Linked DNA regions of Macaca fascicularis. The protein of the gene in region 2 purifies or fractionates together with the protein of the main gene of each other region. This does not show direct contact. Links are inferred from orthologs where the notes say so. Each region holds a gene or a part of one and is shown on either strand. Other genes may lie near its edges.

Region 1 (3,747 bases), on a different chromosome or scaffold from region 2:
AAGAAGAAACCTACAGATAAATCTACTAAAAGCCCATACCTTCTAACATACTATGTAAAGTTTGCCAAATGTGTGAAAGATCTAGAGTAGGTTATTACGTGAGTCACATACAAAATTACACTAACACTTGACATTCAAATTGTATTTTAAGTAGCCAATAATAACTCAGGCCCAGAAAAATACACCCAACATTCAAAAAATTTTAAATGCCCCCAAAAGGAAATAATTTCTCTCCAGATTTAAGTCATTTTGGGTAACCTTATAACCTGTGGGCAATATACTCCAGATTACCACTTTCAATTTAAATAGAACATCAATGTTCCCAAAGTCTTCAACTACAGAAGGGCTAGTCTTGTTGGTTTTTTATGGAATTGGAATTCTGGGTAGAGTCCAACTGAAGAAAATTCCTTGAAATTAGTCTGTAATAATTCAGACACAGAATCACTACAATCATAATAAACTGACCTCGTTAGCAACTGTAAAATATAAACCAATGTACCAAAAGAGGTGGAAGAGAACTTACTTTCACGTTTGGAAGTAACAATTTGACAACAGTTTTACCCCACTTGAATATTTTAAGTGAAATTCACTGTATATCTCCAAAAACAGTGGCAATCCCTAGAGAGAATAAGTCTTCTAAAATATGAAACACTCAGAAGATGTGGAAAAAAGAAAAAAAGGGAAACACTTATTTTCAAACAACTTAGTCTTTGAACCTTGAGGGTTGTTTCAAAATGGGTGAAGCATAAACACTAGGGAAGATCCGAAAGGTTTTAAAAATTATCTGCCAACTTCTCTGCACCTGTTAACGAAATTATGAACACCCATTTAAGCAATCAAAAAAAAAAAGCTCATATAAAATTATTCCAAACTTGCAAGATGTTTATATAGCGAGCTACACACAAAATTCTGCATTACTATAAAAAAGACAACCAACACTGGTGAACAAAAATCTCTATCTTCTCAAGGTAAAGCGTCTTCTCTTAGCGTAGAGTTGCCAGATCCAGTGTTGCCAACCTCCAACGGGATCAGAAACATGTAGCAAAAAGACGTTTAAAAAGAAAAAGAAAGAAATCACAGCAAAATGTTCTTCAAAGTATGAAAGGTCCAAGAACTTTCTTAGCTCCAAGCAAAGTTTCATGCCTGCTTTACAGATGGGTGAACTAAGGCAGAAGATCGGATTAATCAGTGTCTTTCTCAAGGTCACTCTAGTGCAAAAGAACAGTACACTCCGGACTCCCCATCTCAGGTCCTCGACCTCACACACTCCAGGGCGGCACAGCTCAACACGCTTGGCTCTCTTCGTACCCAAAATGCCACCAGGCACTCAGAGAAAGGAAACATTTCAGGCGCTCTCCGGGGAGCTCCCGCAGGACTGGGGTACCTGGGGCCCGCCCTCCCCCGGGGTGGCTGCCGTGGCCAGCCGTCCCTCCGTTCTCGTGGAGCGAGCGCCATGCCCCGCAAGAACCAGGGAGGCGGCCCAGGGCCGTGGGGGCTGCGAAGGGCCCGCCACGAGGGGCTTCACTTACCGTCGCTCTCAGCCCTGACAAGCAGGGACATGCCCTTCAGCCGCTCCACGTAGCCAGACGACACATGCCCGGTGCCCCGGTCGTCCCACTGCCGGTCCTCGTTGAGCGTGTACACCTTCACCCGCCGCCGGGTGTCGGTCATCGTGCCGCCCGGGAACCGGGGCGGGGGCCCCGCCAGTAGACGCCCAGGAAAGGGGTCCTGGAGAGGCGAGGGGCGAGGCGTGAGGGCGCCCGCGAGCGAAGGGCTCCCCGGCCTCACTGCCGCCGCTGGGCGCCGCGGGGCCGCGCCGCCGCCTGCATGGCCCGCTCCCGGGACCGAGTTCTGGGCCGCCGCCTTTCCTCGCCTCCGGCTCCCCGGCGCTATTGTCCAGGCCCGGCGAGCCCGGCGCCCGGCAGCCCCGAGGGGGCCGCGCAGCGCTTCGTAGCCTCCCGCCCCGCAGCGCTAGGAACTCGGGGCTCCCGTCACTGCCCTGCTCCCGCCTCCGCCATGATCTCCGCGAAGCAGCTTCCCGCGCCGCCGCCGCCGCCTCCTCAGGCCGCTGCCGCCGCCGCCATATTTTCCTTCCTTATACCTGGCCCTGCCACCGCGGCCAGTGGCTCCCTTCCGCTCCCTGCTTCAAACGTCAGAAGCCGACAGGCGCCTGATCCTTCTGCAAATGCTACCACTGCCTGGGAGACTCTGAAGCCCCCGGCCGCCCAACCGCCCCGGGCTAGTGGAAGTCGGTTTCCCTCCGCCGCCGCCTCTTCCGTCTTCCTCACACAGCCAAAACCGCCGCCATCTTGGTTCGCCCCTCAAAAGCGGCGCGCGGGGCCACCCAGGGAGCAGCTGCAGGGGCGGCTCGGAGCCCCACCATTTAAAGAGACAGCAGCGAGACCGGGAGCCTTACTGCGGCGGAGGCTTCCGACGGAGGCGGGAGGCGGGCGCGGAGTTGCCGAGGTGGCGGGAGCGCAGGGAGCGGAGGAGGCGGGACGCTGACTGCGCCGGTGACAGCCCGAGGCTCCCTCGCGCCTCCCTGCACGCACCGTCGTGCGAGCGCGGGGCGGTGTGTGCGTCCGTCGCGCTCTGTGTTCGTCATCAGCCCCGCTCCAGGATGCGCGAGGGGCGTGGATCCGTCTGCGGCCTCTGCGAGCTGGCCCCGGCGTCTCGGCCTCGGGTCCGCCTGCCGCCGCCTTCTCTTGTTCCTTCCCCTGTCCCTGGCCTGCGGACGCCGGGCGGCGTGGGCCCGGGCCCCTACCCGCTTCCGAGAGCGTTTTCCCGGGGCCGCCTTTGCGGCTGAGTCGGGCGCTCGGGACCCACCCGGCCCCTTGCGGACTTGAAGGAATGAAATGGAAACGCTTCCGGGGAAGGTCGCGGGTGTGGGCGGCTAGGTTGGCGCAGCCTTGGGAGCCGCCATGGGTCGCGGACTGGCGTGGCCAGTGTGGAAACTTGGGACTGTTTGCGTTTTCTGGGCGTGGGACCGAGTCCGAAGTGACAATTCTAAAACTTCACCTTACAGCCTAGGCAAGCCCCAAGTGCTCCATTCCTTCATCCCCATCAGAACTGTCTGCGAGCCTTGTCGGAAAGGAACTTAAGGCGCTCACAAAAACAAATGCGACACTGCAAAATCGGGAGGAGTAATTCTCAGCATTAGGTAGTCCTGTGCTTTGAAGAGCTACTTGATGTCAAGTATTGCTAATCTTCACAGAGGAATAACATTCTGTTTCCTATCATGCAGCTCATGTGCCACTATTTTGGTGGCTTTTACCATTTGCTAGGCCTGGTAGGTCGGGCTTGTCCGCTAGGAATATAATGCGAGCCACACACATAACTTTAAACTTTGCGGTAGCCACAAAAAGCACGAAGAAACTGATGAAATTAGTGTTAACGTTTCAGTGCGGTATTTTCAAAATGTTATTTCAGTAATCAAATTATTAAAGATATACGTTCCTTTTTAACCTTACGATGTCTTTAAAATGTGATATATTTTGTCCTTCCAGCAAGTCTCTGTTGGGATACTGAATTTTCATCAGAAATATCTGTGTTTAGATTTTATTGGAAAAAAAATTGCTTTTGAGACAGGATCTCTCTCTTGTCACCCACCCTGGAGTGCAGTGGCTCAGTCTCGGCTCATTGCCGCTTCAACCTCGTGGGCTCAAGCGATTCTCCCACCTCAGCTTCCCAAGTAGCTGGGACCACAGGTGTATACCACCACTCCCAGTTAATTAATTAAGTTTATTT
Region 2 (3,747 bases):
AGCCAAACTACTTTATAATTGATTTGCCATCATCCAGCTTTATATTTAACACTAATTTAATCTGGTAACAAAGGAAAGGCTCGTTAAAGGACGGCATTCATAAAATGCTTCCAAGCACCTCTGCTTAACTCGAAGGGAAAATAAAAGGGACTGTTTATTTGGTAGGCAGAGGAGAACACCGCCACGAAACGGTTCTCCACTGAGCAACTCCTGCCTTTGTCAATTATACACATTATTTAGTAACTTTTTTGGAGACATGGACCTTCTCAAACTCCCCAGTATGCTTTGAAACTTTGATAAAGAAATGTACAAACAAAACTCTAAGTGTTCTGGAATTAATTTCAGACGCTTCATAGATCCTCGTAAGTACTCACCGTAAGAAAAATTCCCCATTTCTGGTACTCCAATCTCACGCCCTTAGAATTCTCCTAAGACTTATTCCCTTGAACAACTTTCCCTAATACCAAATCAAACCTAGATCCAGCTGGGACGCCAAGCTTGCGCTGTGGTAACGCTCAGAAGGCCTCCTTCATCAGTAAAACAGATGCCTTAATGGAAGTGACGGGCAATCAACGCATGGAAAGGGGCTTGGCTTCCCTCTTTTTTGGGTTTCTCTAGGTTGTCTAGATTGGAAAAAAATACACGCTTCGTCCTGCGGAGTTCGGTACAAACGCAATTGCACATATGCAAAGGCAAACCAGGAGCGCAAGTGCGCGTCCGGGGACCGCGACCGGGAGGGGCGGGGCCGAGCGGGGCGAGAGACGGACCGCTCCTCCCATTCGTCGCCGCCTTAACTCTTTGCTATCCTTCCGCAGAGCTTCCTCTTCTTTCCCTCTGACCTCGGAAAGAAGGGGGCGGGGCCTTCGGGGGCGGAAGTTGCAGTGCATTGTGGGTTCTCCTGGAGCGGTGGAGTTGATCCTGAATGAAAGTGGCGCGCTGCCCCTGACGTTACCCGGATTTGAGCGGCTGGAATTCGGATTACTGCTGCGATTCGGGTGTCTCGGACCCCGGTGCGCACCGGACCACGGGGAGGCGGCTGCAAAGGCGCGGCGAACGTTGGTGAGGGAGGGCAGCTCTGCGCAGCCCCCAAGACATGGCTCACAACAAGATCCCGCCGCGGTGGCTGAACTGTCCCCGGCGCGGCCAGCCGGTGGCAGGTAACCTGGACTGGGGGGTATTCGAATCCCCACACTCCAGCGTGCCCGGGGGTGGGCCGACTGAGGAGCTCAGCTTTTGGTGGTTCTGTGCCCGTTAGTGGTATTTCAGGAGTGGGATATGCTCCATCTGATTACGCTTCGTGGACGAATGTTTGGGAACATGAACGGGAGGGGATGGTCGGCGGATGGGGGGCACTTGTCACTATTCCTGCCAGGCTAACTGTGCGAATGTGAAGGTAGACAGTAGGTTGGTGGCAGGAGGTGAGGATCCAGGAATACAGTGGGCGTACTTTGAGTCTTAGTAGTTTGTGAACCTTTTAGGGTTCAACCTTCCCCTCGAATTAGAAGGGATGAGTGTCAGTCTTGAGATGGAGGAGGATAAGGAGGGAAGGGGCGGTTCCCAGCGGTGAAATGGGGTCACATTGAGACTGGGAATCTGGAGGGTGTTTTTGTTAGTTTTTTGTTTTTATTTTTTTTTGTGAAACAGGGTCTCTCGCTGAGGCTGGCGATCCTCCCACCTCAGCCTCCCAAGTAGCCGGGACTACAGGCTCCTGCCATCGCACCCGGCTACTTTTTTTGTTTATTTAATATATATATACACATTTATAATATATATATTTGAGACATAGTCTCTCTCTGCCGCCCGGGCTGGAATGCAGTGGCGTGATATCGGCTCCCTGCCTTAGCCTTCCAAGTAGGTGGGATTACAGGTGCGTGCCACAACACCTGGCTAATTTTTGTGTTTTTAGTAGAGACGGGGTTTCACCATGTTGGCCAGGCCGGTCTCCAACTCCTGTCCTCAAGTGATCCGCCCGCCTCGGCTTCCCAAAGTGCTGGGATTACAGCCGTGAGCCAGCACGCCCAGCCATAATTTTTTTGTTTATTTCTTGTGGAGACAGTTTCACTATGTTGCCGAGGCTGCTCTTGAACTCGTGGACTCAAGCGATGCTCCCACTTCGGCCTCCCAAAGTGTTGGGATTATAGGCGAGAGCCACCCTGCTTGGTCTGGTTTTTGTTTCTTTAAATCATTTTTCTTGTAGTTTTTTTCATCTTTATTGAGCTTGAATACAATAGGCTTTAAAGTGTACAGTTTGATAAATTTTGACTATATATACACAAATACATCTCTTTCCTAGGAAACAACCATGAAACCATCACCCCTCAAAGTTTCCTCCTGTCCCTTTTTAAATCTCTTCTTTGCCTGGCAACTGCTGATCTGCTTTCTGTAATTATAGTTTGCATTTTCTAGAAATTTTTAAATAATTGGAAACATATAGTGAGTACTCTGCTTGGGGTGGAAGGAAGTGTGTGTGGCTTTTTTCACTAAGCATAATTATTTTGATACTCATCCAGATTATGCATGTATCAATAGTTTATTCCTTTTTTATTGCAGTGTAGTAGTCCATTGTTCTGGGTATACCACAATTTGTTTACCTCTTCATCTATTGATGGTCATTTGGGTTGTTTCCAGTTTTTAGCTATTACAAATAAACCTGCTGTGAACATTTATGTACAATTCTTTGTATGGACATATACTTTCATTCCTTTTGTGTAAATCTCTAGGAGAGGAATGGCTGCATCATATAATAGGTGTATGTTTTAAGAATTTTAAGAAACTGCCAACCTCTTTTCCAAAGCGGTAACACTTGATAGCCCCACCATCAATGTATTATACAGAATAAATTCAAAGGACTTAAAAACTCGCAAAAAATTTGGACACTTCACAAAATAAGATATATGAATAGCCAAAAAGCTATGATGGCGTGGTGGTGTGTGCCTGTAATCCCAGCTACTCGGGAGACTGAGGCAGGGGAATCACTTGAACCCGGGAGGCGGTGGTTGCAGTGAGCCGAGACTGCACCACTGCACTCCAGCCTGGGTGACAGAGTGAAACTCCATCTCAAAAAAAAGTAATTTGTACTTAATCGTGTAATTTATTAGTAAGGGTTCTCTACAGGGACAGAACTAATAGGATATATATATACACACACACACACGTAAAGGGGAGTTTATTAACTATTAACTCACACAATCACAAGGTCCCACAATAGGTTGTCAGCAAACTGAGGAGCAAGGAGAGCCAGTCTGAGTCCCAAAACTGAAGAACTTGGAATCCAGTGTTTGAGGGCAGGAAGCATCCTGTACAGGACAAAGATGTAGGCTGGGAGGCTAGGCCAGTCAAGTCTTTTCACATTTTTTTTCTGCCTGCTTTATATTCTAGCTGTGCTGACAGCTGATTAGATAGTGCCCACCCAGATTAAGGGTGGGTTTGCCTTTCCCAGCCCACTGACTCAAATGTTAATCTCCTTTGGCAACGCCCCCTACACCCAGAATCAATACTTTGCATCCTTCAATTCAATCAAGTTGACACTCAGTATTAACCATCACAGTAATTTCTTTGATATTTTGCATATTGAGGAAAATGTTATGGCAGTTCAAACTTATATGTTGCAAATATTAGGATTCACTTTACTAGTACTAGAAGTTCATAATTTTCCTGAATCAGAAAGAAAATGGTACTAACTACATATAATATGTTCTCCTGTGAAGTCACCTTCTCTAATGAAACCAGACTTGCAATGAGAGAGAG

Evidence for each region. The genes of interacting proteins can lie anywhere in the genome.
Region 1: the proteins of RNGTT (region 2) and PPP4R3A purify together in Homo sapiens (affinity purification with mass spectrometry; 3 studies listed by BioGRID and IntAct, with this or other methods). This does not show direct contact. The link is inferred for Macaca fascicularis from reciprocal best matches to the Homo sapiens genes RNGTT and PPP4R3A.

What each region holds. Positions count from the first base shown.
Region 1 is NC_088381.1:159,504,319-159,508,065, forward strand, and holds the start of PPP4R3A (serine/threonine-protein phosphatase 4 regulatory subunit 3A), read right to left. Parts: upstream 2,324-3,747; 5' UTR 1,672-2,323; coding exon 1,530-1,671; intron 1-1,529. UniProt on the Homo sapiens protein: Regulatory subunit of serine/threonine-protein phosphatase 4. May regulate the activity of PPP4C at centrosomal microtubule organizing centers.
Region 2 is NC_088378.1:86,409,050-86,412,796, forward strand, and holds the start of RNGTT (mRNA-capping enzyme), read left to right. Parts: upstream 1-883; 5' UTR 884-1,093; coding exon 1,094-1,157; intron 1,158-3,747.